Linked DNA regions of Arabidopsis thaliana. The protein of the gene in region 2 interacts with the protein of the main gene of each other region in a pairwise test. Each region holds a gene or a part of one and is shown on either strand. Other genes may lie near its edges.

The links.
Region 1: the proteins of AT1G52510 (region 2) and FMO GS-OX3 interact in a two-hybrid assay, tested with the Arabidopsis thaliana proteins (one large-scale study listed by BioGRID).

The regions. Positions count from the first base shown.
Region 1 is NC_003070.9:23,157,928-23,163,475, reverse strand, and holds FMO GS-OX3 (flavin-monooxygenase glucosinolate S-oxygenase 3), read right to left. Parts: upstream 3,743-5,548; 5' UTR 3,565-3,742; coding exon 3,018-3,564; intron 2,929-3,017; coding exon 2,858-2,928; intron 2,384-2,857; coding exon 2,228-2,383; intron 2,107-2,227; coding exon 2,024-2,106; intron 1,933-2,023; coding exon 1,797-1,932; intron 1,708-1,796; coding exon 1,534-1,707; coding exon of another isoform or gene 1,510-1,533; exon of another isoform or gene 1,147-1,509; coding exon 925-1,146; 3' UTR 595-924; downstream 1-594. UniProt on the Arabidopsis thaliana protein: Catalyzes the conversion of methylthioalkyl glucosinolates of any chain length into methylsulfinylalkyl glucosinolates. Prefers probably short-chain methylthioalkyl glucosinolates in cv. Landsberg erecta.
Region 2 is NC_003070.9:19,560,916-19,567,083, reverse strand, and holds AT1G52510 (alpha/beta-Hydrolases superfamily protein), read left to right. Parts: upstream 1-1,811; 5' UTR 1,812-1,823; coding exon 1,824-2,102; exon of another isoform or gene 2,103-2,247; coding exon 2,248-2,323; intron 2,324-2,407; coding exon 2,408-2,493; intron 2,494-2,632; coding exon 2,633-2,726; intron 2,727-2,812; coding exon 2,813-2,889; intron 2,890-2,988; coding exon 2,989-3,116; intron 3,117-3,221; coding exon 3,222-3,293; exon of another isoform or gene 3,294-3,442; coding exon 3,443-3,513; exon of another isoform or gene 3,514-3,604; intron 3,605-3,630; coding exon 3,631-3,706; intron 3,707-3,786; coding exon 3,787-3,930; intron 3,931-3,970; exon of another isoform or gene 3,971-4,005; coding exon 4,006-4,045; 3' UTR 4,046-4,073; exon of another isoform or gene 4,074-4,228; coding exon of another isoform or gene 4,229-4,600; intron 4,601-4,702; coding exon of another isoform or gene 4,703-4,737; exon of another isoform or gene 4,738-4,828; coding exon of another isoform or gene 4,829-5,190; intron 5,191-5,287; 3' UTR 5,288-5,307; coding exon of another isoform or gene 5,308-5,397; 3' UTR 5,398-5,556; downstream 5,557-6,168. Other genes in the region: FRS6 (FAR1-related sequence 6), read right to left, coding at 1-917, 1,122-1,151; MMH-1 (MUTM homolog-1), read right to left, coding at 4,229-4,600, 4,703-4,737, 4,930-5,032, 5,320-5,397, 5,557-5,607, 5,819-5,944, 6,038-6,106.

The DNA.
Region 1 (5,548 bases), 3.6 Mb from region 2:
AGTTCGACAAATAACACTTTTTAGAGTGAGTATAAGTTGTTTGAGAAAAAAAAATAAAAAAAAATAAGAAGAGTGAGTATAAGTTTATAACAACATACTACAAGAGAATCACTTTTAATCCACATCTGCATCTTCTAACCATTTGGTAATTAGAATAGAGATCTATAAAACGGTGTAAAAAGAGACATATATATGAAATTAGTGTTCGACCAAAAAAGAGACATTAGTCAAAATAAAGGTCACATATAATAGTCCAAAAAGTCAAATATACGGTTTGTTACACCACTAACCGCACCAAGAATAACTAAAAAGCCGATATTGGCCACACCTTCCTTTATCGTGAGTCGAATGGTATGGATTCAGTGGGAGTTTAAACTTTAAAGTCGTGAATGGGATATCAGTTTTTCCCTTTTCTAAAATGAACCCAATACTATTGTTTGAAAAAAAAAAGGGTGTAAAAAGAAATCAAGAGCAGGGAGTTGAGAAAATAAAATAAAAACCTCCAAAAATAAATAAATAGAACCAGATTTTTGTGTCCAATAATTTTTGTGTTGTATAGGGTCCATTAATATGGCAAATTAATTACTACAGTCTCGATTTTCGCGTTCATATTAAAAAAATTCCCCTACGATAGATGACTAGTCGGAACACTAAATAAACGTAATCTCAAAAATGCAAATCACATACAAATGGAAGCACATATTTAAAACTAAACGATCAAAAAGCCAAACAGAAATGTAAAAAATAATTTAAAACAACAAGGGCATACAATATAGCTTAACCCTCCTCTGTAAAGCTTACAATTTTTTTTTTTTTTTTTTTTTTTGTAAATTGTAAAGCTTACAATAGTTTTGCAATTTATTGAAGGCTTGGAATCAACCCACCTACCAGAAAAGAAAAACAAGTCGGCACTATTGGCGCAGATCATCTTCCATTTTCGAGGTAATAAGAAGGATCAACACTAATCAACTTCTTCCTAGAAAAATCATTGTACGCTTCTTCTATGAGTTCATCGTCGTCCCATTCATCACGGTAAGTTTCTGGATGGGCCACAAGTCTCAGGTATCCGCCGTCAACTTCTTGACCTCTCCAACGTTCTACGAGTTCACAACCAGATTCTTTCGCGACCCAATTGAGGTACTCACTCTGTTAGAGAGATTAAGTTTTCTTAAAAAAGTTATTGACATGATGCTCTTCTTGAGTCGATAATATGCATATGATTCTTTAACAAAAAGAATATGTATATGCATTTGGTTGTTTGTTTACATGTAATTTTAATTTTATATTCAAAGTATTTAAAAAATCCATATTTTAAGCAATTAATTAAAAATATTTATATTTAGTAATTGTAAATCCGAAATTCAAGCGCACTTGGTTTTTTTTATGATGATATGAAAAAGTTTTAATTATTAAAACATGTGAATTTTGTTTTAATATTTTTCACATGATTTTTTTTTTTTAGAAATCTACGTTTGAAACTATTTTGACATATTTATAGGACATGTAGTTTTATTCGGAATATGACGAACTTACCTGAATTCTACCTATCGTATGAGTATGTCTCTTGGGAATACCTAAGGCATCAAGCGACGCATACCACGCATTAATATCTTCCATCATCTTATCTGTTGAGGGAAGTGTAACTCGTCCTGACAAGACTGCTGCCACCCATTTGCTTTGGATTTCAAACATAACAAATACTATCCCCTGAATTTAAAAAGAAAATCACAGATCAAAACTAATAAAGTGAGACGTGAACTCGAAAGTCCAAGAGAAAAAGTTCAATTGATACTAACCATTGCTGGCAAACCAACGAAAGCAAGTCCAGGGGCAAGCGCTGGTGGAAAGACATGCTTGTATAGAGGTTCAACACGTTTTTCATCAATGCGCAAATAGCCATTTGTTTCAAGAAATGGGAAGTTATACTTGTACCTACACACATAAACCAAAAACATTAGGTCAGTCAATAGATTAAAAATCTTGCTATATATGAGCCAATAAATACTGAAAACTATGGATATACCCGGTGCAATACACAATGCTATCAGCAAATATCACCTTCCCGTTTTTGAAAACAATCGACCCATCCTCATGGGTGGTGTCGATCTACGACATATCAAAGGAGAAAATCAAAGACTTTTAACATTATAATTGGTTTTAAATGAAATGGCGTGAATGTTCATATAATCCAAATCATTGTTCGATTAAATAAAGTTTTTAGTTTTACTTCGGAATGCATCCATAGATTGTTTTGGGGAACGGAAATCTTCTCGTATGTGTGGGGTTCCCTTGCTCTAGACGCAATGTGGACTTCTTTTGCGACCTTAGCTATGTCCCTACTAATATCGGCACCACTCGCAAAATTTCCTATCACCACCACCACCTAGCAAAATATCAATACAATAATATAGATCGTAAATGAAATTAATTATGATATATAATTTTGTGGACCAACTTACAGTTACGTTTACGTATTAATAATTTAATAGAGCTAATTTTTTATCTTTTTTTTGAATCTAATGTTAAATTATATTCAAAGAAAAAATAGCATTTTTACAACTGACGGAACGGTTTATCGAGAGAAAAATTTAAAGATTTTTTCAAAAATTTTGTAGTCCGAACAATTAGATGCGAGTTAATCAAGCTTGGGCTGCAAGCCAAACTTGAAAAGCTGCATCATACCTCCTATCACCCAAGCGTCTGATAGAGCTAATTTAAATTTCTAAATGCATACGAACAATGCTTTACTTCCAAGAACTGAGAGATGGAGTTCTTCCATATAGACGCAATGATGTAGAAAGTTTTCTTAACCTAGACCATATGCTTTACCTTCTTTTACAAAGGAAAAAAAAATTACCTCGTTTTCGAATGGATCAGGAACTCTATAGTTGTGGCTATGAATCTGCTTTCCTGGCCACGATTTTATACCTATGGATACACATTTTTTGGTTATTCTCAACTAACTTTTACACTGTTATTAAAAGAAAAGGTGAGTATTTATAAATTAATATTTTTACCAGGAATATGAGCAATATTTGGTTCTGTATAGTGACCATTGCAAACCACGACGGCGTCATAGATCTCATCTTCCAAGAACCCGCCGGAGTTTTTCGACTGGACCCTCCAGTTCCCGTTGTCAACCGGTTCAACGCGAACCACCTCGGTCTCGAACCGGATCATCTCCTCTATTTTAAACTCTCTAGCAAAGTCTTGAATATACGCAAGAACTTCCCTATGATTTGGATAACGTCTCGCGTCTCTTGACTCGTCATCGAAACGTGGCAAAAACGGGAAGTCCCTGACACCCATACTTTCTCTCGGGACATTGGTTCGGAGAGACTCGTAGATGCTCGAGTGGACTTTGGATCGGGTGGGGTCAAGGCTAAGTGGATCGGAATCGGATTTAGGTGTGTAAACCCATAGACCACCGACTTGTTTCTCCCGTTCAAACACAACTACACTGTGACCTTCACGACGGAGCTCCCTAGACGTTATGAGACCGGCTGGTCCGGCTCCGATCACTGCCACGTGTTTAGAAGTGATTTGGTTTTGAGCTGGTGCCATATTTTGTCAAATCTTAATAATAGTAGGTTTTGTGTATAAGTTGCATCAGCTTCAGGCCAAATATAAATACTATATTTTAATGGCAAGATTACAGATGTTACATTTCATCTAATGGTTATGGAATTTTATTACTCATTCCAATCCACGTGTTCGGTGAACGACGTGTAAGTGATTAGAAATTTTTCAATTTTTATGTGACCTTTTAAGCTCCGGGCATTGCTTTTGTCAAAGTTTATTTATTTAATAATAGGTCCTTTTTCATTTCTTTTTGTGTTCTTATTCTTATGATTTTTTTTTTATCATGTTCATCTTATGTTTGTTGAAATGAAACTTCATCACAAGATAATCTTATTTTGCTAAGAAATATTTTTTCGTTATAAACGTAACTTCTTTATTAAATAAATCTAGTCTTTTACGATTCCTTATTTATTTAGCTGTCGTAGACAAGCAAGTTAATTTACAGACAAACTAGTGAAATCCAGTAGGTTGGTGAAGAAAGTGAAAACACGTGTGGAATTTGCAAGGCAGGAATCTTGGTGGAGATGGGACAACAAATAATTGTCTACAGTTAATATTTTCGTGGACAAGAAAAAAAAAAGACAATCCTTGGAAAGCTACTATTACATCCATCGAAAGTTCCACATCGCTGATTTCATTTATATATATATATAAGAAAGAGAAATCATTAATCATTACTAGATTTCATCGTTACAGACTTACCGTTATCACTTACTCGCACTACGAATAAATTCAAAAATCAATGTATACATATTCATTCTCATTACTCATTAGATTTCATCGTTACCGTTATCATTTACTCGCGCTATGATTTTTTTTTAAAAATCAATAGAAGTTCTCTATAAGTCAATTTACAAAATAGAAAACAATGAAAAAAAATCCAGGAATGTACCTTAAAAATTTAGCACCAAAATCTGTCAAGAAAACTTTGAGAGCATCCACATTGATTATTTATATAAGTGTTTTTAAATGAGCATATATTCAAATATATATAAATTAAAAGAAATATATGGGTGTCTTTAAAAGGAGAGTTGTGTTTTCTTAGAGACAATTAAATCGTCCTACACAAAACATGCAAGAGATGCGTAGGCTAGATCACACTATATCACAATTCTTAATTAGCTTTATGATTTTAGTTGATGTTCTACGTATGGACCATAGAGAAACCAAACTGAATTCAACCAACATTTCTTCAACTACTAGACACAGAAATACAAAGGGTGAAAGGATCGTTACGTTAATTGGTACGATGCTATGTATTTTATGGGGGAAAATTTTCATTTTAGTTCAGGCACGTTGAAAGTCATTCACCTGTTTTCCTACCCAACATCACTGTTCTTTTCCTCTGTTCTTTCTTTCGTTTATCTATAATTACATTTCCTTCTTGAGACAAGTTGCAGTTGGAATTTTCTCTAGTTATCTTGTGAAACTCCTAACCTCCCTTCATAGTCTGAAACAGTGAACTTCATGACCTTTAATCTGGCCATCTCGGCTCAGCTATCTTTCAAAGAGTGAAAGCGGGATTTTTTCAACGTAATCATACCTAAAAGCCTTCTCATTATTCCAGTGGGTCATGAATCGATTTATCAACCTATAAAAAGACAGAATCAAACATATATGCTGAAATCTCAGAAAGAGACACCGAATCTATCAATCATGTGATCTGACTCTAAGAACTAACGGACCTCAGAGGCTCAGAGCTAGCAAACACTTCAAAGTCAAATTCATGTTACAAGTAGATATCTTCTCTGTAATAAGTTGCTTGTCAAAGTGAAGAAAAAAAAAATGAGAGGAGGAAGAAGCGAAGAAAAATTAAGGATTTTCTTGCCAAGTAATCCGTAAATGGAGTAACAAATCCGAACCATTTATTTCGTTAATTTGGAGATCAGCTAATCAAAGAAACGTACAAAAAGAAGCAGATCTATAAAACCGAAGTTGCAAAGATTTGAGGGTAGAGGCGTGACGT
Region 2 (6,168 bases):
AATGTCACCAGTGGAATCTCGAATTTTCCTGATATATAAGAACTGTCGATGAAGATGACATCGCCAAAGTAACTGCAGGAAACTTTAGAGAAAGCATCTGCCCAGAATACATTCCGTAGTTGACCTTCATCATTCACATCCATCAAGTAAAAAAAGTTTGGATTTGTCAATTGCATACGGCAAAAGTAGTTGTAAATGGCTGCAGAATCTCCTCTCTTAAGGTTCAGCAAATCAGGTGACCCAGTAGAATTCTGAAACTTCTTGTTAAGAGTCGAGTTTGGGTTCACATTGCTCCCATTATCCACCACACAAGCTCGGTACAGCTTAATCGTCTTAGCGTCTGAGACTGGACTAGATACACACTTCCTCTTCCTTTTAACCGATTTATATAACTTACAACCGAGTAAATGGTTATGATCAAGTGTAACTTCAACTACCCGCCACCTCTTAGAATCAACCTGTCTCATTCTTATCATAGCAGGACAACCAGTTCGAGTTTCCTTTCTAACACGATTCACATCGTTAATCCTCTTAAAACCTTGACTACTACAACAAAGCACCGCACCATACTTCTCTTTACTACGCCGCTTAAACCACGAATTCTTCACTCTTACACGAAACCCAACTTCACTAGCATAACAGTTATAATAGTTATAAGCATCATCATACGACTCAAACTCCATTCCAACCGCAGGTGCATCGAATTCTTTTCTCTCATCAACAAGTAAACCACTCTGTTCATCAAACCCTCCCATTGTTTCTTCTTCACTCTTTCTTTCTTCGTTTTGACAAAATCCAACATCAATCTCATGCTCACTACTACAAACTAGAGCTTCTTCTCCTATCCGTAAAGTATCTGACATTGGATCATCTCTTTCACGAACCTCGTCGTTCTCTAAATATGCAGATGCTTGGACCTGTAATAACAAAAAGCTATAAACTTTGATTCTAGCAAACCCTATTTACTCAATTGAGGCATCAAACTTGTGAAGGAGCTGAACAAAAATGATAATCAACCCAATGAAATCAAATGTAACATCATCACAACCCTTGTGCGAATCGATTCATAATCTTCACAAAATCCAGAATTGAAAAGAGGAGTTTTAGAGTTAAACACATACATCTTCATCAACGGACTCACTTCTCTCCATTGGAGGTTTGGTTCCTCTTCCTTCTTCAATTCGCGGGTAAATTTTGATGAAAGCACTTGACTTTATTCGATTGAAGGAGAACACTCGTGAAATTGATCGGTCCGGGATAGATCCGGACGGGTCTTACACGGAAAGATCCGACCCGAGAGTGATCTTGCGCGGGTATTGACCTTTGAAAGCGGTTAGGTAGTTTAACTTCTTCTTCTGACGGTGAGGTGGTCTTTTGGGGCTCGACTGGTGACTCTAGCATTTTCACCAACATAGAGACACCTTAGGCTTAGGGTTTTCACACACAGGTTCAAAGCACGTGCTGCAAACGTCGTCGTTCGCACTTAAACATATCATTTTTGTTTTTCCTTCACTTAAGACACTTAAACGACAATTACACTGAAACGGAGGGAATGCTATGAAATGAAATCCAAAATTGCATTACATAGATTCCCTGAAATGAAATCTATGAGTCTATGACATTAGTAAAACGCACAAACTTGTGAATGTGATATTTATGAGCTTATAAAACAGCATATATAAAAAAAAAATATATCAATTTCTAGATTTTACCCACAATCTTAATTTATGTCATCATTAACCACTAATTTTTCAATATTTTCTCTCTCTTTCGAGGCGCATATATAAATACAGGAAATACGCTTTTTTACTTACCAATCAAAAATGTCTTTGCTCTCTCCTCTTCCTCTGCTCCACTCATTCTCCTCCACCGTCGCCACAAAATCCACCGCCTCTAGAATCACTGCCACGCCGTCGAAAATCCGCTTCTCTGTCATAAACGCCACGTCGGAGAATGGAAACAGCGGTGGTAGTAAAAACGATCGTGATGAGGATCCATCTTTTAACCCATTTGGTTTCGTTACAGACAACCCGTCTAGCCGGAGTGCAATTCAGTTACCAGAGTCTCCGGCGGAAGACGGCAATGTCGGCCAAATGCTCTACGTAAATTTCACATATTTACTCAGTTCAATTTTGAACTGTGATTGAAATTGAAAAGATGCATGGTTCATATTTGCTTCTATTGATTTCAAATTCCATTTTTTATCATAGTGTTATATTTTTGTTGATTGTTATGTTGTGGGTTTAGAGGACTGAAGATAAAGGTAAAGAGTATGGCTCAACTATCAAATCTGGGAAGCTTAGATGGTTTGTGAGAGAGACTGGTAAAGACTTAAGTTTTGTGTTTGTTTTTTGGATTCAAGAAGAGTTTTTGATCACTGATTAAGCATTTTCCTATTTTCCGGTAGGATCAAAGGAGAGTCGTCGAGGAACCATTGTATTTGTTCATGGAGCTCCTACTCAGTCTTTTAGCTACAGAACTGTCATGTCTGAGGTGCTACACTGAATCTTGAATCATGTGTCTATATGGGAAACAATTGTTTCTAATGAAAGACTCTTATGATTTCCAATGAATCATGTGTATGTATATGAAGCTTGAGTGGATCTTTTGTGTGTTCCCAACAATGTAATAGTTGTCAGATGCTGGATTTCATTGCTTTGCACCTGACTGGATAGGATTCGGATTCAGTGACAAACCGCAGCCTGGATACGGTTTTAATTACACAGGTTCGTTGATGGTACATTTAATAGTTTGTGAACTGCAAAATCAGTGTACATGGTTCTTTGTTCTAATAAGTTTTAAATCTTCTCAGAAAAAGAGTACCATGAGGCGTTTGATAAACTGCTTGAAGTGCTAGAGGTCAAATCTCCTTTCTTTCTTGTTGTTCAGGTTCGGATGTGTGTTCTTATCCCATTTGTGTATAATATGTTAATAATTCATCAAGACTGAATATATATCTTATTTCTGCATTTGTTGTGGTCTCCCAAGGGATTTCTTGTAGGTTCATATGGTTTAACTTGGGCTTTGAAAAATCCAAGCAAGGTTGAGAAACTCGCGATCCTTAATAGTCCGCTGACCGTTTCATCCCCAGTTCCCGGATTATTTAAGCAGCTGAGGTTCAACTCTTTTGCCATTTTGACCACTCTAAATGCTTGCAATACTCTGTGAAAGCACCAATCTATTTGTATCTCTTGGCTTTCCTCATTTTTTTTCTGATGCAGGATTCCCCTGTTTGGTGAATTCACCTGCCAAAATGCTATCTTGGCCGAGCGGTTCATTGAAGGAGGTAGCCCGTATGTATCAAATTAACCATCATCTTCATTATAGAGATGAGACATTATATACTGGCTATTCTCCTAGCTCAGCCTCAAAATGCATGTGTTTGGTGATGTTGATAGAGGCTTCTACTGACAATTGTCTTACTCTATATCTGTTTTGATAGCTACGTCCTGAAGAATGAGAAAGCTGATGTGTATCGTCTACCATATTTGTCAAGCGGAGGGCCTGGCTTTGGTACGTCTCTAAACCAAATTCAATGAATGGAGCATGATACACACCTTACTCTTGATTCTTATGATGGTTTAATCTATTATCTAAGAGACTTCTCATCCTGAGATTCTGATGAATTAGCCTTGCTCGAGACTGCGAAGAAGATCAACTTTGGAGACACATTGAGTCAAATTGCAAATGGGTTTTCATCAGGCAGGTAAGTGCATTTCAACTTTTTACAAATTCACACGGCTACAGATAGGTCTTTTACTTTGCTGAGGTTTTGATCCTTCACAGCTGGGATAAACCTACGCTTCTGGCTTGGGGAATAGCTGATAAATATCTGCCTCAGTCTATAGCAGAGGAATTTGAGAAACAGAACCCCCAAAATGTTAAGCTTCGACTCATCGAAGGTGCTGGGCATTTGCCTCAAGAAGACTGGTATGAGAATACACATACTGTTCTGGTCTGCTTTGATTCTTATAAGACTCTCTGAATTTTGAACTTTGTATACAGGCCAGAGAAAGTAGTTGCTGCCCTCCGAGCATTTTTCTGACTTCCAAATACAACAAAAAAGGACAGAGGTAATCACAAAGCCTTGTAACAGCCTAAATAACTAATAATAGTAGAATATCACATAGCCTTGTAGGCATCCCACATTTCCAACATACTTTCTTACAAAAAAAATGGGATAACTGTTAGCTGCCCACAAAAACTATCATCTTGGAAACATAGGTTCTCAACTTTTTCTTCCTTTTGGCTTCTTACCAGCTTGGCTAGTAGCTTTCTCTTCAGACTTCCTCTTTATTGCAGGCTTTGTACCACGGCCTTTGGGTTTCACAACTTCTTCTTCAGCCTCGCTATCATCTCCATCATCGTCGCTCTCTTCTGTTTTTGTCTTCGATGCAGGCTTCTTACCACGACCACCTCTGGGTTTCTGTCCTTTCTTCGATTTAGCACTCTCATCTTCTTTCTCAGTTTCTTGTTCATCTTCTTCCCCATCTCCATCGTCTTCTTTGGGTTTCACACCTCGTTTAGCCGGTCTAACCTTGGCTGCTTTCTCTGCGTCTTTCCCATAAAGTTTCTGCAGTTCTGGAACATAAGCTGTTGTCTACAAAAGAAGAAAACCAGACACAGAAACATTAGTTCAGTTCACTACATGAACCAATCACCCACATTATAACAGTGCCTAACAATGCATACATATACTTACCCTTCCACCAGCAGTAATGAAATCAATCTTCTTCCCTGCAATAACCAAAACAGTATTCATTACCTACCACATAAATCAGATACATCACGATTCACTCTCATAACGTTTAAACCATTATTATGGGGATTAACAACTGCAGTTGGAAGTTGAGAGAACAACAGATCCAACAGTTTTATGAACTTTTGCAGGTAGATAAAGAGTTTGAGTGTGAAATGTGGGATTCAAACCATCAACAAAGGCCTTTCCTGGCTTCTTTTCCCTATTATGAAAAATCCAGTAACTAGGAAACTGACTACTGTCTGCATCAACTTCCACAGCTTTTTCTATCACCTGCAAAACCCCAAATTCTGCTTCATCAAATTTATAGATAGATGGTGGGAAAGCTTACCATTAACTTTCCCTGCTTTTTTCCCCCACCGAAAATGAAACAACCATTCAACAGGAAACTCTTTGCTATCAGCATTGACTTGAACTGCATGTTGAATGACCTACAAATGCGGGTTTTTTTTTTCTCTCTAAATCCCAATAAACAATGCATCATATGCATATATATTAACAGAGCCTTTGTAATCCCATGTTTTTTAGGTACTGTTTTGGTGGGGTGTTTAGAGTCTTACCTCTTTGATGGATGTGTGCAAAGCTTCACATTGCTCTTTGGAGAGGCTAGAAGCAGTCTGCAACGGGTGGATTCTGGCCTGCGAAAAAAATAAACTAGAATTAATCGTACAGCATGTAAACCCGTTTCTTCTGTCGTCAAATGTACAGAAAACAAAAGTGGATACTTTGTGAATCAAATGAGTGGTTACATAGATGCTTTACTTCATTTCAAATGTAAATGTGTAAAGATCACTTACTTGGTACAGCACTTCATCAGCGATCCAATTCCCAATACCTGAAATATATCCCTGCAAAAGGGAAGATATACATAATCATCTAAATGCGAGCTTTTTATATAAAGAAAAGGAACAAAACTTTGCCAAATAAAAGAAGATCATTTCTGCAGCATCTATAATGTCATATATAGCCAAGTTCTAGATATTGTGATAGAAGTGGTAAGGACAAGAAAGAGCTGAAAGATGCATAAAAGTGAGAGAAAATGAAATTTGATCTCTGAACCTGATCAAGTAGGAGAGGTTTTATGGTTATTTTCTTTTTAGCTAAGCTTTCTGCAAATTCATCAACTGTCATAGGCTCCAACAATGCATCAGGACCAAGCTCTGATATTGGACTCACAGAAGTAGGCTGCAATAGCAAACATAAATAAAACTATCACTAAGTATCCACAGAGAAGCTTAATAAAATAAAAAAAGCAACTTCAGAGTTATGCATTTATACATTTGCTAGAAGTCGAACTTTGGCAAATCTCCTCTTATCAGTAAATGAAAGCTCCAGACCATCATCAAGCTTTAAAAAAAAAGCATACCTCATTGTGATTGAAACACATTTTTGGGTTCACGATCAGTAAT